3 linked regions of the Pelodiscus sinensis genome follow. The protein of the gene in region 1 binds, or shares a complex with, the protein of each later gene. Links are inferred from orthologs where the notes say so. Each region holds a gene or a part of one and is shown in the gene's direction. Other genes may lie near its edges.

The links.
Region 2: the proteins of GINS3 (region 1) and GINS2 are in contact, whole or in part, in a crystal structure (PDB 2E9X), measured with the Homo sapiens proteins. The link is inferred for Pelodiscus sinensis from reciprocal best matches to the Homo sapiens genes GINS3 and GINS2. Residues at the interface, in NP_073607.2 of Homo sapiens: Leu13, Gly14, Tyr117, Ser121, Leu124, Asn131, Ala132, Ser135, Gln136, Leu138, Leu139, Gln140, Phe142, Ile143, Phe146, Arg147, Ile149, Met150, Asp151, Ser153, Gln154, Ala156, Met171, Gly174, Leu175, Thr178, Gly179, Gly182, Leu183, Asp185; in NP_057179.1 of Homo sapiens: Asp2, Ala3, Ala4, Glu7, Met93, Glu94, Lys97, Asn101, Trp121, Ile125, Arg129, Val130, Ala132, Asp133, Val136, Arg137, Gln139, Met151, Thr155, Ser156, Thr158, Phe159, Leu160, Gln162, Ala163, His166, Met167, Lys169, Leu170, Arg171.
Region 3: GINS3 (region 1) and MCM3 share a complex: the UniProt entries of both Homo sapiens proteins name them as parts of the CMG helicase complex. The link is inferred for Pelodiscus sinensis from reciprocal best matches to the Homo sapiens genes GINS3 and MCM3.

The regions. Positions count from the first base shown.
Region 1 is NC_134722.1:46,266,367-46,273,920, forward strand, and holds the start of GINS3 (DNA replication complex GINS protein PSF3), read left to right. Parts: upstream 1-4,540; 5' UTR 4,541-4,575; coding exon 4,576-4,755; intron 4,756-7,065; coding exon 7,066-7,299; intron 7,300-7,554. Other genes in the region: diacylglycerol O-acyltransferase 1, read right to left, coding at 4,169-4,247. UniProt on the Homo sapiens protein: Required for correct functioning of the GINS complex, a complex that plays an essential role in the initiation of DNA replication, and progression of DNA replication forks.
Region 2 is NC_134722.1:6,384,619-6,392,092, reverse strand, and holds the start of GINS2 (DNA replication complex GINS protein PSF2), read left to right. Parts: upstream 1-4,464; 5' UTR 4,465-4,551; coding exon 4,552-4,641; intron 4,642-6,722; coding exon 6,723-6,837; intron 6,838-7,474. UniProt on the Homo sapiens protein: Required for correct functioning of the GINS complex, a complex that plays an essential role in the initiation of DNA replication, and progression of DNA replication forks.
Region 3 is NC_134713.1:8,420,636-8,428,409, forward strand, and holds the start of MCM3 (DNA replication licensing factor MCM3), read left to right. Parts: upstream 1-4,764; 5' UTR 4,765-4,877; coding exon 4,878-4,961; intron 4,962-6,429; coding exon 6,430-6,542; intron 6,543-7,774. UniProt on the Homo sapiens protein: Acts as a component of the MCM2-7 complex (MCM complex) which is the replicative helicase essential for 'once per cell cycle' DNA replication initiation and elongation in eukaryotic cells.

The DNA.
Region 1 (7,554 bases):
GTTCAAAAAAGAGCTACATAAATTCATGGAGGTTAGGTCCATCAATGGCTATTAGCAGGGCTCGACAAACCGCTGATTCTACTCACCCATGGCGAGTAGATTTCAGCCGGTTGCTCCGTGCACCCCATTCACCGGCGCTGTGCACATGCGCAGTGCTGGTCTGGCGCACATGCAGTGCGGGGCTGGCGAGTAGCTCTCACCACGGTTTTTTAAGCCCTGGCTATTAGCCAGGATGGGTAGGAACGGTGTCCCTAGTCTCTGTTTCTCTGGAGGTGGGTGACAGGGGAGGCACCACGTGAGGATTACCTGTTGTGTTCCCTCCCTCTGGGGCATCTGGTATTGGCCACTGTTGGCAAACAGGATACTGTGCTGGATAGACCGTTGGTCTGACCCAGCATGGCCTTTCTTATGTTCACAAATATATGAATATATTTGGGGCCATACTTTTTTCAAAGTCTCATGATCACTATATTCTCTATGGAATTCTTCTATTCAGGCTTTTTTTCAGGCTACTGTTTTTGGCTACATTAGTTACCACCCTTCGAATTTACTGCTGACCACACTAAAAACAGGCTGGAATTTTCAAGAATGTTGATGAGAATTAAGCTCCTGACGCCTTCTGAAATCTGCTTAGTGTTTTTCAAAATCCCACCCTTATCTTTGATCCATTCCCAGTCCATTTGCCAGTATGTCTTTGATTGAAAGGGAAACAAAGTGGGTTTCAAAAATATAATTCTGCTTAAGACATCAAAAACTGTGAGAACAACTCAAATTGCTACTTCCCACGAGTGCACTGATGCTCATATTTCTTTCAAACCTACTCAAAGCTTGGTATGAGAGACTGATAAACAAAGCTATAATTCTTGATAAAAGGAAAATAAAATCTTTAACAATGATAGAAAAGTTCTGTTATTGTACAGATTACCATTCTTAGTAACAGTGCAGGTGTTTTATTGTTATTTTATTTCTCAACATGCACAATTAAAGGCAGGGCAAACAAGGTTTAATTAAGCAAAGAAAAAATGAATTCCCCCAAAAATGTAAAACATTTTAAAAGTTCTAAACAAGACAAGGACAAAAGAAGTCAAAGTATGCTCTCAGTTATACCAATGTAAGTCTTGAGTAACTCCAGTGAAATCTGTGAGGTTACTCTGGAGTTATACTTGTGTACCCAAGATCAAAATCTGGCCCAAAGAGTTTGACTTTGTGCTAGAGCATTATCTCTGGTCTATTGAGTTGTAACACTAAAGTGAATGTGGCATTTGAATTACATTCCAATAATCTGCCTCAGCATGAAAACAATTTAACAATTAAAACTTTGGCATTAAGAGATCATTAAGATATACTTAAACCTACTTAGCATTAATTTGTCTGGATTTTCACTGTGTCCCTTATTAAGCAGAATGACCCATGTTTCCACTACAAAAAACAACCCTAACCACATAGATTCAAATTCATACTCACTGTGGTCTTTATACAATTTGTGGATAAGGCCAGATTCACCCCTTGGGCACAATGGAGTGCAATTTGCAGCTTCCCTGCTGTGCCTGTTAGAATGGCTGCACTAAAGATTCAAACTTCAAACACAGGCAATTGTGATATCACAGGTGCTCTCCACTAGGGTTCTGATAGGGAAGGATAGCTTTAAAACTCAGTCGACATAGAATGTCCAAGGCTAGTCTAGACTACATGCCTCTGACGACAGAAGCATGTAGATGAGGCCACCAGGCATAGAAAAATGAAGCGGCGATTTAAATAATCGCCGCTTCATTTAAATGTACATGGCTGCCGCGCTGAGCCGACAAACAGCTGATCAGCTGTTTGTCGGCTCGGCGCTGTAGTCTGGACGCGCGGGTGTCGACATCAAAGGCATTTGTCGACCACCCAGGTAAACCTCATCCCAGGAGGCATACCTGGGTGGTAGACAAATGCCTTTGATGTCGACACCCGTGCGTACAGACTACAGCGCCGAGCCGACAAACAGCTGATCAGCTGTTTGTCGGCTCAGCGCGGCAGCCATGTAAATTTAAATGAAGCGGCGATTATTTAAATCGCTGCTTCATTTTCCTATGCCTGGTAGCCTCATCTACATGCCTCTGTCGCCAGAGGCATGTAGTCTAGACGTAGCCCAAGAGAGGCAAGGATGGTTTGTACCCCTATGCCCCAGAAATCCAGGCTGACTTCCTGCTGTCAGCAATACACTACCAGAGTTGCATCATTGTGAACTTATTCCAGTGCCTGTAACATCCAGTCACAAAGGTTTAGCTGAAAAGATGAGCCTAAGACAATATGCTGACAAATTTGAGATCTGACACCTGTCAGGAGAAAATTCCAGACATGGGCCTTCCAACCAAGACCTGCTTTCACCGAGATCGGTTGATTTCAGCCATCACAGAGGAGATGGCCACACTCTAAAACAAACAAATACCAAATCACGTAGGCCCAGATATTCAAAGAGGCACCTCAAGTCCATGCAAGTGAAGGGTGTATCTCAATACCTTTCATATTCCAGGCCAGACAACTTTACATCAAATTAAAAAAACAACACTTTGTCTTGCACCAAGGTATTGATGGGAAGCCACTAGTTTATAGAATGCCACAAGAACATACCTGCAATCTGCCCCCGATTTAGACAGGGTAGCTTAAAGCTTCTGAATGATTTGGTTTTAGTGTTAATTTAAATTCTTGGAAGGAAATGCTGGCCTCATTACAGTCAAGGAGACTTCTGTCAGGATTCCTCCTTACATTTTTTAAATCTAAAAGGCTACGTCTAGACTGGCATGATTTTCCGCAAATGCTTTTAACGGAAAAGCTTTCAGTTAAAAGTATTTGCGGAAAAGAGCGTCTAGATTATCACGAACGCTTAAAAGTATCCGTGCCAATCTAGACGCGCTTTTGCGCAAAAAAAGCCCCGTTGGCAATTTTTGCAATCGGGGCTTTTTTGCGCAAAACAAATCTGAGCTGTCTACACTGGCCCTTTTGCGCAAAAGGACTTTTGCCCGAACGGGAGCAGCATAGTATTTCCACAAGAAGCACTGATTTCTTACATGAGATCATCAGTGTTCTTGCGGAAATTCAAGCAGCCAGTGTAGACAGCTAGCAAGTTTTTCCGCAAAAGTAGTTTGCGGAAAAACTTGCCAGCCTAGACACAGCCAAACTGTAACTTCTTTGGAAGCAGAGACCGTCTTCCTACTGAATCCGGTGCAACATGTCATTTTAAGGTCCTTTCGCCACAACTTTTGGGGCAGAGGGAGAGGGGTTGCCCAGAAGGTAGGCGTTCCCAGGCTATGTCTAACACAGCAACATTATGTCTAGACTACCTAGTTTTGTCGACAAAAGTGGACTTTTGTTGACAAAACTATACCAGCGTCTACACTACCGCTGAATTCTGTCGACATAACGTCGACAGAACTCAGCAATTTTGTCGACGCTGGTATACCTCATTTTACGAGGCATAACACCTTCTGTCGACAGAAGGTGTTATTGCCTGTAACGTTGCGTCCAGACTACGGAGTTCTGTCGACAAAGCAGCTTGCTTTGTCGACAGAACTCAATATGTCTGGACGCTCTTTGTCGACGGAAGTTTTGTCGACAGTATGTGTCGACAAAACTTCCGTCGACAAAACGCGGTAGTCTAGACGTACCCACAGTCTGCAGCGATGCAGCTGGCAGTTATTTCGACATACAGTCCAAATCATGTCGAGCTGGAGGGCCACTTGCTGCAACCCGTGACCCTCATTGTAGAAGGAGCAAGGGAAGCGGGAGGCAGAGGGCTCTGGTTTGAAATACCTGCTGTGCAGACAGCACCAACACTTGAATGAAGCTACTCAAGGGCAGTAGCTCCACTGGCGGGTTAGTTCCGAGTTAAGCCCCGCAGTGCACGGCGCGCCCGGGCAGGGCTGGTGGAGCCAAGCCGCACCACTGCGAGGGCAGGGCGGTGTCTCCCCAGGGTGTCACTGCGACTCCACCTGCCCGGGGAGGAAAGGGGCCCGGGCGTGTCCGGGGGTGCGGGCGAAGGGCGCTCGGCACTGGGGCTTGTTACCCGCGGGGGGGGGGGAGGAGGGGGGGTCTGCGGGCACGTCGTTCGTCGCTGAAAATGGGGATCCCCCCCCGCCCCCATCTCACCCGCGGCTACGCCCCTCCCACTCTACCGCCCCTCCCCCCTCACATGCTCCGCCTCCCGCCGGCCCCCGGGCCTGCGCTCCGACGACGCGCTGTCGGTTACCGGCCGCCCCCGCTGGAGTCATGAGGCAGCAGCACGCGCCCCCCCCCCCCCCCCCGCGCTCGCGCCGCCCGCCCGCAACAATCCATCGGGGGGGGGGGAGACAGCCCCCGCGTCAGGCACAAAGCGGCCCCTCCCCCACACCCCGCGGGACCGGGCACCCCTCGCGGCTATTTGCAGCGTGACTGACTGACGAGGGCGCGCGCGCTGCCCTCGATTGCTCTCGCCTGGCGCCGGCTTGCGGAGCGGGCAGAAAGCGGCGCATGCGCGCTGTCGCTCCCCAGCCTTGGCCGCTGCTTCTGCCTGACCGCGGCGGAGCGCGGGAAAGGGGGTTGGGAGGTTGCCGCCCCGCCATGTCCGAGGCCTATTTCCCCGTGGAGCCCGGGCTGGGGCCCGAGGAGAACTTCCTGTCGCTGGGAGACATCCTGATGTCCCAGGAGAAGCTGCCGGGCCGCGTGGAGGCGGCTCTGCCCCGCCTGGCCGCCGTGCTGGGAAAGGGCTCGGGGGCCGGCCAAGGCGACTGCATCCCGGAGGTAACGCGCGGCCGGAGGGCGCCGGGACTACAACCCCCGGCAGCCACCGCGCGCTGGTGGGGGCGGGGCTTGTCCCTTCCCGCTGGCCTGAGGAGCGCTCCGTTGTGTGAGTGACGGGCTCCCGGCTGGAGCGGGGCATGCTGGGAAATGCAGGCGCCAGCGCGGTGTGACCAGGGCCCAATGGGGTTCTCCCCGGGAGCGCGCGCTCGGCCTGGGCTTGCGCGAGGCTGCGGGGTGGGCCCGCTGGGCTCCAGCACGTGTACGGCCGCGGGGGGGTCTCTTCGGAACCAGGTCTCCCTAGGCAGCCGGGGACTTCGCTTGCTAACCGCCCCCGGGCTAGGGCCTGCCCGCGTGCTGCCCGCGAAGCACTGCAGCGAGGCGTCCCGCAGGTCTTTGCTGCGAGTTGTGGGCGTCGTCCAGGGACCCTGCCCTGCCGTTCATTGCACCGCCAGCAGCACCCCAGCATCGCTGGCACCTGCAGGGTGGAGGTCTGAATCCCCCCGAGGGGCAGCCAAGTTAGTCGGCAACTGGGGTGGGCAAAAGCCTCGCAGGGGCTGGATCCAGCCCCTCGCATGTTGCCTGGGAGCTGGAGACGTGGGAGCTTCTTTCAACTGCTTCTTAAAGGGCTCCTGCCTTCCCCATGTCTGTCGGGCAGCGGGTTGCCTGGCAGCCACAGGCCACAGGGCAACACAAGAGCCCTTTAAAGAGAAACAGTTAAAAGGGCTGGCAGCTCCCGGCCCCTCTAGCGCGTTGCCAGGGAGCTCAGCCCTTTCACCTGCTTCTATCTAAAGCTGTTACCTGACAGCTCCAACCAGCGGGCACAAGGCCTTGAAACCAAAGCAGTAGAAAGGGCTCATAGCTCTTGATCCCACCAGCTCCTTGCCTGTGAGCTGCCTGTGAGACAGAGTCCTTTCAACTGCATCTTTCAAAGGGCTTGCGGGTGCCAGGCAACAGGTTAGTGGGGAGGGGGGAAAGCTGTGTTATGTGAATTCTAAACCTCCACCCAGACAACTCTGGGAGAAGGCTAGCCCCTGGTACCTTTCCCTCTGCTCCAGGTCTCTTCCACCAGAAGTCTGGGGGGGACCCCAGGTCAAGTACAGCTGCCAGTTGGGTAGCTCTCAATCCCTCCCCTTCTCCGCCTGAGGCCCCACCCCTTCCAGGTCTGAAATTTGTGAAGTGGCCCCCTCTTCAAAAATTATTACTCACCCCGCTATAACTGGAAAAACTTAAAAAACGAATAGTCTTGCAGCACCTTAAAGACTAACAAAACATGTAGATGGGATCATGAGCTTTCGTGGGCACAACCCACTTCTTCAGATGAATGAATCCTGACAGTTGTAACTCTGAAGTGTTATGGTTGTCTTTTTCAACAGTTTACAACTGAACGTTGTAAACCTTGAACTTGAAACCTTATTATGCAGAAGAAAAATGCTACTTTTACCCATTTTAATTTAAATTACACAAGCACAGAAACCGTTTCCTTTGACAAATCTTTTTAAATGTTTTCATTTTAAATCTTTTTAGAAGTTTATTTTTAATAGCTTACTTTTAACACTTGATTATTTATTTATTTATTTATTTTGGCCTCTGCTGCCTGGTTGCAGTGAATGATTGATTCTAAGGATGTTAAAATGTGGTTAATTGACTAGTCAATGGAATTTCCATCGACTAGTCGATAGGCACTTCCACATTCCTCCTTTGAAATGTACAAGAGCCCCAGGAGGCTGACTCCGGACTCCACCTGGGTGCGTCTTTGAAATGTACGAGAGTCCCCAGCGGAGGCCAGAGTCGGGGGGGGGGGGGGGGGACTCCAGCAATGGAGTGATGGGGGGCTGGAGCACCAGTGCGGGATCCCCAGTGCTTGGGAGGGGGGAGGGAGCCCTGAGCCTTGGGGCCTGGATCCAGGCAAGCTGCGGGCCAGGCCTGAAGGTTCCCCACTCCTTCCTTAAATTTACTTCCTGGAGTGGTCCTGTTGGCGGAATCATATGAGCAAAGTTGCAGATATTTGAAAGTGTCTGCAGGATCCTGGGGCTCTACTTGTAAATTTCCTTACACTGTAGTATTGTTTTTATCCTTTCAGGGTTTGTTTACGCGCCGCGCGCACTCACACGCTCTCTCTCTGGTGTCTATAGGCGTTATCTTTCTCAAATAAAAATCTGATTTACATTCGTTTCCACTACTACACATTGACATCAAATCACTCTCTGGTGAATCTTCAGTGTTCATCTAAATCTCATGTTTTTTGTTATCCTGGTCAGAGTTTATTTACCTCTGTTTCTGGGGGGTGGGGTTTCTGTTGTGTGCATGCAGGGCTCAAAGGTGGAAATACCCCTATGGCTAGCAAAAGGATTGTATGACATCAAACGGAGGATCCTTTCAGTGGAACTGCCTAAGATTTACAAGGAAAGCTGGCGGACGGTGTTCAGTGCTGATGCCAATGTGGTTGACCTTCATAAAATGGGGCCATACTATTATGGTTTTGGCTCCCAGCTCTTGAATTTTGACAATCCAGAGAATCCAGAAATAGCTCAGACTATACTGCAGGCAAGTATCTGAAACCATATTTCCTTTGGTAGCTTTGGATTCCTTTTTCTTTGCTGCGCTCAGGCAAACCTTCTTCTGTTGTAACCATGGTTTTAGCTTAAATAAGGACTTCCAGGTCAGAGAACATAAGAACAGCCGTACTGGGTCAGACCAAAGGTCCATCTAGCCCAGTATCCTGTCTACCAACAGTGGCCAGCACCAGGTACCCCAGAGAGGGTGGACCGAAGACAATGATCAAGCGATTGTCTCCTGCCA
Region 2 (7,474 bases), about 40 Mb from region 1:
TCTCCCTTGCTGCAAGTTAAGCCCATTGCTTCTTGTCCTATCCTCAGAGGCCAAAAAGAACAATTTTTCTCTCCTCCTTGTAATGCCCTTTTAGATACATGAAAACCGCTATCATGTCCCCTCTCAGTCTGCTCTTTTCTAAACTAAACAAACCCAGTTCTTTCAGTCTTCCCGCATAGCTCATGTTCTCTAGGCCTTTAATCATTTTTGTTGACCTTCTCTGGACCCTCTCCAATTTCTCCACATCTTTCTTGAAAGGCAGTGCCCAGAACTGGACACAATACTCCAAGTGAGGCCTAATCAGCACAGAGAAGAGCAGAATAATGACTTCTCATATCTTGCTCACAGCACTCCTGTGAATGCATCCACGGGATGGGCTGCAAAAGAGAGAAGGCTCTGGGGTCTTTTGGCTGGGAACATGGAGACTGGGCCCGAACTTAAAACACCTGGGATGCAGGCGGCTCCCTTCCCCTGGAGGCTGGAGAGGGGGGAGCAGGAAGTAATAGGGCTGGGGGCTGCTCTGTCCAGTGGGGCTGAGGGACACGGGGGTTGCAGGGCTGCTCCTTCACCCCAGGTATGGTGACCATATTTTCTGAACCAGAATTAGGGACATGTTAGCCACGCCCCTGGAGGTAGTACTCCCGGGGTCAAGATGGACACATGACCAGAAGAAAAAGGTGTTACGTGATCCCTCTAAGAACTCCTCCCACCGTCCTCTTACCAATAGGGATGAGTTTGGTCCCCACAGGATCCCCCATGTAACTATCCTGCAATTGCATTAACCCAATTTGCATTGTATTAACTCGGGGGGAGAGGCTGGGGGAAGTGTTCCTTCTAAGATTTTCCTCCTATGAGCGGAGTACATTTTGTCTTGTGCACCAGCATTGAGTGCATGTGCACTTGTTCGGATGTGTGCCACTGTGGCACCCAAGTTATTAATAAATATCTTATAAACCTCTCCCTCTGCTGCCATGTCTCCTCCCCTCCCCTCGTCCATCTGCTCCCCACCCCTCACCCTCCTCTGCTGTCCTAGCTCCTGCCCCCCTCCCCTGCACCAGCACTTCTCTTCCCCCTGTGTCCACTCCTCCTCCAGCCCTGTCACGTTACTGAATGTTAAGGGGTGCAGCCAGATCACTGCTGAACCCCTGGGGGGGGAGTGTTTGCCCCAAAAGTTGGTACAAAGGGGGCCATGTGAGGTGTCAAACTTACTTTCTTCTGATTCTATATATGCTCTTCATATACCTGTATAATGTCTGGGTGTGACGTTATAAATATGTACTCTGTGTCAATATTGGAAACTTCTCTGTGGCTGAGCATTAGATGAAGAATGCTCAGCCTATGGACATGCTAATGAGCAAGTCTCCATGGAACAATAGTCCTCTATAGGCCAAGTTCACACCTCAAGAATAGTGACTGATACCTAAGGGCTACCAGCAGGGAACACAGGGATAGGCCACGGGCCAGGTGACCTGCTGCAGCCAAGAAGAAACTGGTATAAATATGCCACGTGGCCAACTCCATCTTGGTGCTCAGCTCAGCTCTTCATCCCAGAGGCAAGAGTGCCAGGGATCGAGGAGCCGGAAAGAACTGTGGACCCATCCTGACGTAGGATGTTCACCAAAGACTTTTAAGCCAGTAGTTATAACATCTCTGCTGCAAGCCTGCATCGAGAACTGGGTGATTCGATGCATGTAATGTATGATACTTTAACAACCTTACTCTCATGCTTTTCTTTCTTGTAGTAATAAACCTTTAGATTTGTGGTTTGTGGCTAAGATCCAGAGTGTAAATTGACCTGGGATCTGTGGCTGGTTTTTTGGAACTGGACAGAACTTGTTCAGGGAAGGTGAGATTGGGCTCTAAAACCCCTCACCTGTATATGAGGCCCAAGGCCACCTGGGGCACGGATATTGCTGGGGTGTCGGAGGGGTTTTGCTCATGAGGCTTCAGGCTGGCCAGGCAGGCAGCTGAAGCGCTCTGTGGGGCTGGTTTGTGGCCTATTTGGGAAGGTCTCCAGTCTGGGGGCTATAGAGAGCCCCAAATTTGAGCAATTCGCCCTGAGCAGACACCCTCAGCTGTGCCCAGACTCAGCCCGGTCCATCACAAGCCCCACTCTGATCATCTCTAGCTACCCCTCCCCATCCCCTCTCCTAACACCTCCCTCTACCCACCTGCCCTGCCTCTCTCTTCTGCCCTCTGGTGCCCATCCCTCCCCTCCACATGACTACCCTTCTGCTTCACCCCCACAATCCTGTGGCACCTGCACCTTCCTAGTGCCTCCCCCTTCCCTCACTGCCCCTGCCCTCCTTGCCTTCTTTCTCCCTGGTGCCCACCCCCTCACCACCTTCTGCCCCAGTTCCTCTCATGTTCCTCTGTGCCCTCACACATGACTTGCTCCATCCCCAGCCTTCCTCATGCCCACCCCTCCTTTCAAAGCCTCTTATCTGGGTGTCCACTCCTCCCCTCTCCTCTTCCTCCCTCTTGCCTCCATTGTTCCTCCCCTTTCCTCTCCCAGCATCACCCTGTCCCCTCCCCACTACCACCCCCCCCAGACACCTTCCCTCCCCTCATGCCCTTTACCTCATTGTCTCCTCTTGTCCCCTGGCATTTATCTCTCATCCATCCTGCCCCTTGGTGATTTCCCCTTTCTTCTCCTGACTAGGCTCCCTGCTCTCCCCTCAGCACAAGCCCGTTCTCCTCACCCTCTTCACCTTCTGCCTTCCAGAAAGCAGTTTGCGAGGCTGGAGCTTGTAGTCCGGCTCCTGAAGCCCCCGCAACCATAGATGCGGGACTGGAGTGGAGACCACCCATGGTGCTATTTTTAGTGCCACGGTGCCATCCCCGCAGGCTGCCCGGCTCTCTCTGGAGTCAAGCGGTAGCCGCACAAGGCATGTTCCGGTGAAGCTGCCCTGGCTGGAACGCACCTTGTGTGGCTGCCACTTGACTCCAGCGGGAGCTGGGGCCACCTGCAGGGACCCAGACTGCAGTACTAAAAATAGCACCAGGGGCGGCCCCTGCTCCAGTCCCGGCACCTGCCGAGACCGAGCGTGCCTCACACTGCAGTGCCCCAGCCAGACTCCATGCGGCTCCTGCTGGGGCTCCAACACGGCCTGGAGGAGGAGGAGGCAGTGCCACGGGACCAGGACCTTCCTCAGCAGAGGTGGTCCCGCGGGGGAGAGTGGGGAGGGAGAGGAGGGGCCACATGCCACCAGAAGCCGGCCCCTCCCTGGCACCCTGCTGTGGGGAGTGGGAGAAGGCTGCTGCACCGGTGTCTCCATCAAGTAGTGCAATGTCCCGCGGGGCTTTCCGGGACATTTCACTATTTGATGGGGCACTGGGACAGGGCATTTCAATCTGGGACAGTCCCGGAAAAAACGGGACGTATGGTCAGTGTATCCATGGGGCTTGGAGGGGGAGGGGCGCCCAGCTGCTGCTCCATCCCAGTGAGGCTGGGGGGGAGGGTACATGGGCTGCTCCATTCCAGTGAGACTGGGGGGGGTACATGGGCTGCTCCATCGCAGTGAGGCTGGGGGGGGCACATGGGCTGCTCCATCTCAGTGAGGCTGGGGGGGGGCGCATGGGCTGCTCCATTCCAGTGAGACTGGGGGGGGGCACATGGGCTGCTCCATCTCAGTGAGGCTGGGGGGGGCACATGGGCTGCTCCATCCCAGTGAGGCTGGGGGGGGGGCACATGGGCTGCTCCATCCCAGTGAGGCTGGGGGGGAGGGGCGCATGGGCTGCTCCATCTCAGTGAGGCTGGGGGGGGGGGCGCATGGGCTGCTCCATCCCAGTGAGGCTGGGGGGGGGGCACATGGGCTGCTCCATCCCAGTGAGGCTGGGGGGGGGCACATGGGCTGCTCCATCTCAGTGAGGCTGGGGGGGCACATGGGCTGCTCCATCTCAGTGAGGCTGGGGGGGGCACATGGGCTGCTCCATCTCAGTGAGGCTGGGGGGGGCACATGGGCTGCTCCATCCCAGTGAGGCTGGGGGGGGGGCACATGGGCTGCTCCAGCCCAGTGAGGCTGGGGGGGTACATGGGCTGCTCCATCCCAGTGGGTCTGAGGGGGAGCGGGAGCTGCTGCGTCCCCACGGCTCCAGGCTAGGAGGCGAATCCCCCGCGGGAAGGAGCGCGCGGAGTCTATGACACACGGCAGCGCAGGCTCAGCCGGGCCCGCCGACAGCAGCGCTGATTGGCGGGAAACAGTCTCCCGCCAGGGGCCCTTCTTCTGAAGAGCGTTCTGATTGGCTGGAAGTCATTCCCACCCTTCCCGGCTCAGCCAGTCACGTCGCACTGCGTGTCTGACTAAACCAATCACAGAGAGAGAGAGACCATGACTGTGCGTAAGCCAATCAACGCCTCCTACGGTAAAAGCCCCTCCCCCCTAGCTGAGTACGGGAAAGCGCGGCCCGCCTTGCTTCGCCTCGCGCTGCTAAGAAACGGGCCGCCGGGGGCGGGATTTATTTCCCTCCCAGCCAATCGGACTTTTTTGTCGCCTGGCGCGCGCTGGAGACTTCCGGTTCCGGTTCTGGCGGCGGGGCCGCCTCAGGGCCATGGATCCCGCCGAGGCCGAGTTCCTGGCCGAGAAGGAGCTGGTGACCGTCATCCCCAACTTCAGCCTGGACCGGATCTACCTCATCGGGGTGCGGGGCCGCGCTGACCGTAGGGCCCGGCGGGGGGGGGGGGCGGAATAGGGGCGGGGCTCGAGGCTGAGGGGCGGGAACGGCGCGCGGGGGGGGGGGGTTCGGGTGCCGGGGGGGCGGGGCCTTTCGTCGGGCTCCCCAGGGGGGCTGCTGCCTTGCGGGGAAGAGCCAGACGCTGTAATAGCCCGGGGCTTCCTGCCGCCTCTCACCGTGGAGTCTGGGCGCCTGTAGCGGTGACCCCGCCCCTCGCGCCCCGTGGTGAATGTTACCATGGCAACGCCCCGCCCGGCTCCCCCGTGCAGCATCAGGGGAGTCCAGAATCACCGGCCCCGCTTGCCTTGCTGTCAAGATGCCGCCCCTGTTCCCTCCACAGGCATTTCCGAATCCCAACACGCTCACGCTGGAAGGGACCTCGGGAGACCATCAGGTCCAGTCCTCTGCCGCAGGACCAAGCACCGTCTACATCAGGGCTACTCAACTTTGCAAGCCCTGGGGGGCCACAGTGATATTCGCAGCATATGCCAAGAGCTGCAACTCCAGTGTGGTTGCATATATGTGCACATAGCTTCTTTCACGCTGATGGGCATGAGTACAAAAGATTTAAGGCAAGACTAGACAACAGTCAGGCCCCGTTTAAGTCCATTCTGCTGGTATTAATAATATGTAATATTTACCTGATTTCCACTTATATGAGAGCACTTTTAGGCTACACTGGTGGGTTCTTGCGCAAGAAAGAACATCTTGCACAAGAACATATCCACACCACCATGTGCTTTTGCCCAGAGCATCCATGGCAGTGTGGACGCTCTCTTGCGCAAGAAAGCTCTGATGGCCATTTTAGGCATAGGTCTTTCTTGCGCAAGAAACCCCTGCCACACGTCCACGCTGTCCTCTTACACTTGTGCGCAAGGAGCCCTGGCTTCCGATGCTGTACTGTAAATCTTCTTGCACAAGAGTGGGTGGGCAGTATGGATGCCGTGCAGGTTAGACATAGCCTTAATGAGCAATGACAGTCCAGAATTTAATTACTAAAACGCAGCTCAACAGACAACCATTATATTGACTTGCTGTTGTGCAGCGTGTTCCCAGTTGAGGCCATGATCAAAGGATCCCACCACTGGGCCATGTGTTAAGGCCCATGTAAACCCAAACTGTACTGCAGGCCACAAACAGCCCCTGGGCCGCATGTTGAGTAGTCCAGGTCTAGATCATCCCTGATAGGTGTCTGTCCAACCTGCCCTTAAATATCTCCAGTGATGGAGATTCCACAACCTCCCTAGGTAATGTATTCCAGTGTTTAACCACCCTGACAGTTAGGAAGTTTTTCCTAATGTCCAACCTAACCTCCCTGGTTTTAATTTAAGTCCATTGCTTCTTGTCCTATCATCAGAGTCCAAGGAGAACAATTTTTCTCCATTCTCCTTGTAACACCCTTTTAGATACTTGGAAACCGCTATCATGTTCCCCCTCGGTCTTCTGTTTAAGCCCTATTCTTTCAGTCTTCCCTCATAGGTCATGTTTTCTAGACCTTTCTAGACCATTTTTGTTGCTCTTCTCTGGACTTTCTCCAATTTCTCCACATCTTTCTTGAAATGTGGTGCCCAGAACTGGACGCAGTACTCCCAACTGAGGCCTAATCAGTGCAGAGAAGAGTGAAAGAATGACTTCTCATGTCTTGCTCACAACACTCCTATTAATGCATCCCATAATCCTGTTTGATTTTTTTGTAAAGAGTGTCTCACTGTTGACTCATATTTAGCTTGTGGTCTACTGTGACCATGACCCTTAGTGCTGGGAAAAAAGGTTTCATATATATATATATATGAAAAGTACTTAGGATAGAAAATGCCATAGAAATGTAAGTAGTTATAGGGAAAAGAGAACTGTGCTTGGATCTGGGACTAAGAGGAGGGGTCATTTCAGTTGGCATGGCATGGCCTCCCTAAATCTACTGGAAACTGTTGACCCTTCTGATGCATGTGAGGCTGATGAAAGAAACTAGATTTTCAAAGCAGTGTCACAATTTTGTATGCCCTGTTAATTCTACTTTCCTTATTTTCATACTTAATTTAATTTTACAGGGAGATTTGGGTCCCTTTAATCCTGGACTGCCTGTGGAAGTGCCTCTTTGGTTGGCTATTAACCTAAAACAGAGACAGAAGTGTCGGCTAATACCGCCTGAATGGATGGACGCTGGTAAGGAGAACACACATTAGCCAGGCTGCAGAGCTAGTGGGGATTACTGAAATACAAGAATTGAGCCTTTGCACTTTTCCCTAGAGCAAATTGCAGAAATGGTAGGAGGAAACTGTTTCCTAATGCAGTGCTCCTGAGATTTTTCAAGACCTAGTATGATTTTAGAGAGACAAAGTGGGTGTGGTAATGTCTCTTGTTGGACTCACTTCTGTTGATCTAAGAGACAAACTTTCGGGCTTACGTGGAGGCAGGGCTTGACAAATTATACAATCTACTCGCTCGTGGCGAGTAGATTGTAACCCGGAAGAGCCGGGTTCCGGCGATCTGTGCATGCGCAGATCACCGGACAGCGCGCTGCCGCAGTTCGGCGAGCCCTGTGTGAAGGTATTCTTCAGGTCTTGTCTCCTTCACCAACAAAAGTTGACTCAGTTAAAAAAAAAAAAAAATTACCTCACCCACCTTGAGTCACTAATACTCTGGGACTGACACTGCTATGACAGTATTCCAAACTAGGGATGTGATAGTGTACACCTTTAAATGGTTAACCAATAAGCCTGAATGCATCAATTAATCTTCATGGTGACATACAAGCCGTCCTCTTTTCCCCCCATGCTGCTGCCTCTGAGCCAGTGCTCAC
Region 3 (7,774 bases), on another chromosome or scaffold:
GAACTCCAAGAGTAAGTCCATAACCTTTCTTCTTCTGCTGCTTTTCTTCACCATGGCTTCATGGGACTATAAGGGTACATCTACACTACGGGACAAAGTCGAATTAAGATACACAACTTCAGCTATGTTAATTGCGTAGCTGAAGTAGAAGTAGCTTAACTCGGCTTTTGGTGCTGTCCACACTGCAGGAAGTTGAAGGGAGCACACTCTCTCCCTTCGACTTCCCTTGCTCCTCGTGAAAGCAGGGGTACTGGCATTGACCGGAGTGCCCCTCTCAGTTCGAATGAGCTGAATTAACTAGACCCACTAATGTGAACCCTGGAAGATTGACAGAGGCAGCTTCGATCTTCCTCTGTAGTGTAGATGTACCTTAAGGCTGTGTCTAGGCTGGCAAGTTTTTCCGCAAAATCAAATGATTTTGCGGAAAAACTTGCCAGCTGTCTACACTGGCCACTTGAATTTCCGCAAGAACACTGATGATCTCATGTAAGATTGTCAGTGTTCTTGGGGAAATACTGTGCTGCTCCCATTAGGGCAAAAGCCCTCTTGCGCAAATCATTTGTGCAAGAGGGCCAGTGTAAACAGCACAGTACTGTTTTCCGCAAAAAAACCTGGATCGCGAAAATGGCGATCGGGGCTTTTTTGTGGAAAACTGCGTCTAGATTGGCCACGGACGCTTTTCCGCAAAAAGTGCTTTTGCGGAAAAGCATCTTGCCAATCTAGACGTGCTTTTCCGAAAATGCTTTTAACGGAAAACTTTTCCGTTAAAAGCATTTTCGGAAAATCATGCCAGTGTAGACGTAGCCTAAGTGTGCATGGTGCTTTTCAGAGAAAATAAAGAGATGAGGCCAAATCTGCAGGTGACTCTGAGCCATGATTGATGCACCCCTATAGGAGACATAGATGGCTTTCTACACCTTTCCATCCCCTCTGATTTTGGAGGCTACCAAGAGCTAATTTGACCCCAAGCGTAGGTTAGATCATCCTCACCCTCAAAGATGCTGTAACTGGCACCAGCTGGAACATCTGGCCTTCTGCGCTTATTCTGCTAGTCTAGGAACCTGGGAATGCATTGTGCTTTGGCCATACTTCTTTATGGCTCCAACATACTTCCTTGTCTGTATAGAGTCAACTAGTCTAGTTTATGCCACCCAGAGATTCTCTTATCTGAGGGGAATCTCCAGCTTCATTAGGGATGCTTTCTGACTGCTTCGCGCCATCAGAAACACATGAAGCAGCCAGAGCAGGGACCAGAATCTGGTCAATGGGACATCATTCTCCACCATCCTGCATGTCTGCAGTGAGTTACCATCCTGACTGGGTAGCATTTTACACCTGCTCAGTGGATAATCAGGTCCAAAGTCACTGCTCCAAACATCTTCCAGCCTAGGTAATACACAAGATGAAATGCTGGAGGGAGACATAGCAGAGGGAGAGGCAGGATGCATGCAATATGATTATGCACTCGCTTGCATTGCAAGGATTATGTTACATTAGCCTAGAATTTATATTTACATTTGCCTAGAATGCCAAAGGTTAGTTTGGAGGTGTGAAACCGTGGGCACAAATCCACCCTTTCAGTTTCATTGTCCCAATTAAGTCACTACAGCTAAAAGGAGAATTTAGCTCATTCTAAGAGAGATTGCGAAAAGAGATAGATTTGAAGGACCAAGAGGCTGCTGAGAATACTGGATGAGGAAGGCTATTAGTGTAGGGGCCAGCACAGGAAGTAGCAAAATGGCCGTGAAGGGCAGCAGAATTGGTGGAACTGCAGGACTTGGGGAGGCCTAATTCTCCAGTCAGCAATTTTACACTAGTGAAGCTGTATTGACCCCAACCAAGTTTATTCCAAGAGGAGAGGAGAAAAGAGTGGGACCCGAAAAATGAGAAGCAAGGAAGGGGCAGAACTGTACTGTTTCAGTTGTGGAACCAGGGAAAGGATTAGAGGGGTAGGGTGATTATATTTGAACATTCAATATATCATCCTAATTCAATAACAACAGCTATTTAGCAGATTTCAGATATATAGGTGGAGCTGAGCCTGAGACCTAACCCTGTAAAGAGGAAATAGGGCACTTACTGATTATCTAGTCTCGTTTGTGCACACACAGAACAGTTAACTGTGTTCCATTGGAATCTGCTTCCCCCTAGTGGGACTGAATTGGAATGACTAAAGATTTTGATGTAGCATTTTACATAGGTCATAATCCTCTTCTCACTGCTTCAGGGAGTAGCCAAGTTCATCTGTATTGGATAAACTTAAAAAACAACACATAGTCTGGTAGCACTTAATAGACTAACAAAACATGTAGCCGTGGGGGAGGGATAGCTCAGTGGTTTGGGCATTGGCTTGCTAAGCCCAGGATTGTGAGTTCAATCCTTGCAGAGGCCATTTAGGACAAAAATTTGTTAGGGATGGTACTTGCTCCTGTTGTGAAAACAGGTGATTGAACTTGATCTTTCAAGGTCCCTTCCAGCTCTAGGAGATAGACAATCTCCATTAATTGAATACGAGGTTTTGTGGGCACAGCCCACTTCTTCAGATTACCAGAGAATTGAGTTTAGGATGTCCAGACCCAAAATAATAAATAGGGGAGAAGGATACAAGAAGCAGAGGGTTTGTAAATATCAAAGGCTATGTCTAGACTGCAGGCTTCTTTCGAAAGAGGCTCTTTCAAAAGCATCTTTCGAAAGAGCCTCTTTCGAAAGATCGCATCTAGACTGCAGGCGGATCTTTCAATAGAGGAAATCCACTTTTTCGAAAGAGAGCACCCAGCGAGTCTGGATGCTCTCTTTCGAAGACGGCCTCTTTACATTGTAGAACGCCTTCTTTCGAAAGAGGAACTTTCGAAAGAAGGCGTTCTTCCTCGTGAAACGAGGTTTACCACCATCGAAAGAAAAGCCGCGTTCTTTCGAAATAATTTCGAAAGAACGCAGCTTGAGTCTGGACGCAGGGGAAGTTTTTTCGGGAAAAGGCTACTTTTCCCGAAAAAACCCCTGAGTCTGGACATGGCCAAAGGGAAAACCAGAAAGGCAAAACTGGTAATCAGTAAGCTCCTAAAAATTGAATAGTAAAAAGAAGAAGATAAGGATCATAGGATAGCAATTAAGAGAGGAAAAGTACTACTACAAAAATCTACCCAGATAAAGAGCTGTTGGCACCTTCATTGTTTGTTTGATTGATAATGTCCCAGCCATCCATTATCTTGATTGAGGCCATAGGTGTGAGAATTAATTTGTAGATGAATTGTAATTCCAACCCTTCTCTGTGTAAAATTGGTCTGTAACAAGACAGCCATTTGGAGATCTGTGGATTGTGCCCACGAAAGCTCATGATATTATATATATATTTTTGCTTGTTGCTAAGGTGCTACAGGACCATTAGTTTTTAAAGTTCTTTCCATTTTAATTACTCATAAGTTTCTAGTGTAGAGGAAGTGGGGTGAGCTGCAGAAAAGCATTAAAATGTGATCCCAGTTCATCCTGTTCGTCCAGAAATATAATTTATTCCATCATGTGCCAACAGTGTCCTTCTGCTATGTATATTGGACAGACTTCTCAGACACTTCACCACAGAATTAATGCCTACAAATCAGACATCAGACATCTTCACAAGGAAAAACCAGTTGGTTTTCATTTCAACTTATCGGACATAGTCTTAACGACCTTACTACATGCATCTTACTTCAAAGAGACTTTAACACCAGATTACAGAGGGAAACTTCAGAACTTTCATTCATGCTTAAATTTGACACTTTACGAATGGGCCTTAAGATGCTAATTATCTTACCCATTACAAAGTTTCTCCACTTATCACCCCTAATTAGCCATTCATTGACTCATATATAGCTATCCCCTCCCTTCCTCTCCCTGGCCCCACCTTCTGTACTAAATCTGATTTGTCAGTTTAATAATGTGTTCACTTTTTTCATTGTATTCTTTTGGTATATATGGTCATGCCAATTCTCTTCCAGAATATGAGTTAAGGAAGTGGGTCTGGCCCAGGAAAGCTCATCACCTATTAACCAATCTTGTTAGTGTTACATAGTTTTCCCTTTTGTTTTAACAAGATCAGACTAACACCTCCCTATTTCTATCGTAAGGGCTGAACAACCAGAAAGCACATAGCACAACCTCTCCTCATTTATTATTATTACTAATCTCATAGGTTTGGGAAGGCTCGCTCATGGCTACGTAATACAGTGATATTAACACTGCAAGGGCATGTCTACACTATGTGGAAGACACTGCCATGGTAGATTTTTGGGGGTTCGATTTAGTGGGTTCATCCTCTAGATCGAACTGGAAGGGCAACCGGGTTGGCTCAGGTACTCCTGCTCCTCCCATTGGCTTCCCTCTGTGTGCAGAGCACAGAAATGCGATGTAAGAGACATAGCTGGAGTTGTGTATCTTACTTCGACCTTCCGATGTAGCAGAGACTAGGCCTAAATGCCTGACTTGCTATGGCTCAGAACTGACCCTAAAACATGCACCCGTGATGGACTACATGGCCCAGCATGCCTCTGGCAGGCATGCACCTCCCAGCATGCAATGCTCCCTTGGCCCCCACAGCGTCTAGTAGAAACTACACATCCCAGCATGCTCGAGGGCGGACTACAGCGTGAAGGACCGAACGTTCTCAGCCTCTCCCCCTGATTGGCTGAAGCTGTGGCCTCTTCTCCCGCTCTCTGGTATTGGCCGGCCGCTTCCCGGCTCAGTCAGAGGCTGGCCAATGGGAGACGGAGCCTTGGTGACCCCTGCGGTGGCGGGAAAACGCGGCCGGTTTTGGCGCCAGGGGCGGAGCCAGCGGCAGCGCGGGCGCCCCTGAGTCCAGCCTTTGCTCCACGGCGCCGGCCCCGCTCCCCAGCGCAGGCACCATGGCGGCCCCCGCGGCGGCGGGGCTGGAGGACGCGGAGCTGCGGGAGGCGCAGCGCGACTACCTCGATTTCCTGGACGACGAGGTGAGACTGGGCGAGCTCCGGGCCGGGGGGGGGCGGTATGGAGAGGACCCAGGCGTGGGGGGGGGGGGCTGTTGCTGGGTTTCCTGTCTCCCTCCCCAGCCCGGGGGGGGCTCCCCCCTCCCCGTGTCCAAGTTTGGCCTCTGGGGGGGAGGAGATCCCCGCCCCCCCTTGCAAACCACGCCCATTCCCGGGGGGGGGGCGGTCCTTGCAAGGTGGGGCTGCTGCCCTGCACCCCCCCATCTTGTGCACGGCCAGTCCCGTAGCTCCGCTCAGGCGCGGGGGGGGGGGGAGGTTTAAAAATCTCGTTTTAACGCTTTGCCCTGCACACCCCCCCCCCCCATCTTGTGCACGGCCAGTTGGGGAGCCCATGCTGGCACTGCCACCGCACTTGTGGGGCTGGGGCGCACAGAATCTACTAGCCTGCCCTCCCCCCCCTTTGGCTCTGGTGTGCAAGGGGAATGTGGGGAGTGTCTTTCTCTTTCGCAGCTTGAGTTGTAACTGACTATCTGCAAGAAGGCATAGGGTACTAAAAAGGAACGCAGTCTGTACTGAAAGCTGGGGGGGGGGTGATCCCCAAGTTGTTGTATCATGCAAGCAAGATAGTAACAAACTTCAACAGGCCTTTTATTTAACAAAGGTGAAACCTCTTTACAAAGCTGCTGCTGCTCCCCTCTGTAGCTCTCACTCAGGCCTGGCCCATCTCCTCCCCCCTCCTTCCTCTTTCCTGTGCTTCCAGATTCCCAACAGCCAGTGCTCCCAGTTCTAATAATTACAAGCAGCATCTAAAACACCGCACAGGTAGAGGATAAATTCTTGTGCTTGCTCTGATGGAGCTAGCATACCAAACATAGAAGGATGCTGTGTCAGCAAATGTCTGAGATCACATGCATATAAGTACATAATTTTGATGGTTAGTCCCTCCTGCTGGTTTGGTTACACTATTGGTTATGCTCTATATTTAGTGAGCCGTCTCAATCAGAGATGGTGAGAATAAGGGCTTGTCTTCACCATTGGCTCAGTGATCAATCCAGTTGGTGTTGATTTATCAAGTCTATTAAAGTCACGATAAATTGACCACAGATCACTCTCCCGTTGACTCTGGTACTTCACCTCAATGATAAGTGCAAGGGGAGTTGATGGGAGAGCACTGCCTGTCAGTGCACTGCGTCAAGCATGCTGCAGTAAGTAGATCTAAATATGCTGACCTCACCTATGGTAATTGCATAACTGAAGCTGCATAACTTAGATCCTATGTTTCTTCGAGGTGGGAACTGCATTTCCAACTCAAAGTGAAGGTGTTGACACTGCATTCCTCTATCTGGCCTTTCCTTGCAACAAAGATATCCAGCATGAATAACAGGAAGGGGGTGGGGGGGGATTTCCTGAGCCACTAAAGACAAATCAAATGGGCTGCATCTCGCCAGCTTAACTTTGTAAAAGGGAACCTTTCTCTCATGGCATGCTGCAGGAGGACCAGGGAGTTTACCAGAGCAAAGTCCGGGATATGATCCACGATAATCAGTATCGTCTGATTGTTAGCATCAATGAGCTGAGGAGGAAGAACGAGAAGAGAGCCAACCGGTAAGAGTAACCTGTGAAGGAACTCGACAAGAGTGTTTCTTCCAACTTGGCTCCTGCACAGCATGTAGTGAGTAGTATGAGAGGAGAGCCTGTACAGTTGTTGTTTCCATGTTGGCAAACTTTGCAGGCAGGTCAATGGGTTAAACTATTACTTTCTCTCTAAAGCTCTGTAGTAGAAAAGGTTTGTCCAGTGTACTAACACCAGCAAATCCTACTAAAGGAAATGTAGATTACACAGGTACCCTAAGCACTTTTGCTGCTATACCTTTTAGAGGGACTCTGAGCAAAATAAGATGTACCAGCCAAAATGCTTATGCTGGTATTGCAGCATCTACAGCAGGGCTTTTGTCAGTGTTGAAATGGTGCTGACCCTTCCCCCAAAAAAGAAATACTAACACACTTGTAAAAGTTTCTTGTGTAGACCTGTGCTAAGGTAATATCTTCACAACCAGAAAAGTGTGTGCTTTTTGTTTTATTATTGTTTGTTGTTGTTTTTGTTACAGCAAGATAACTATCATGCATTAGCCATCTTGATGCAAAATTATAGGAGATGAAGCACAGGTAGCATTTATCATGATGTAGCTCAGGCGTGGGGAATCTTTTTTTTTAGGTTGGTGGCCACTGACCCACAGAGAAAAAATCAGTTGGGGGCTAACCAAGTGAGAAGCAAAAAAATAAACCCTCCACAGTCCTCACTGACCTGGTCCCCAGTGAGAAGAAGGAAAAGAAGACCTTTCCCTCAAGCTCCAGTCCTGGAGATAGGGGAGGCTCTGAGGCTCAGGGGTTACACCACAGTGCTGGATTAACTCTTCTGGGGGCCCAGAGATACTCTCTGGAGTGGGGCCAAAAATGAGGGGTCCAGTGTGTGAGAGGGGGCAGTCGGGGAGAGGGCTAGGAGTATGGTTGTGGAGTCAGGGAGGGAGGGTTCAGGAATGGGTTAGACTGTATGGGGTCAGGGCAGGAGGGAGGTGGCAGAAGCATGGTGAGGATGCATGGTCTGGGAGGGAGGGTACAGGAGGAGGCTGGAGGTGAGGTGCAGGGTCTGGAAGGGAAGGAAGGAGCGTGCAGACATGAGGACTGAGCAGGGGATACAGGAGGGGGCAGTGGATATGGGGTACCTCTCACCCTGCCTTGGAAAGTCCATGGGGCCCAATCCAGCCTATGTCTTGCTTTGATTGGGCCCACAAGGCATAAGCCATGTGCTTCCCCCCTGCCTCATGGCTGGAGTGCCA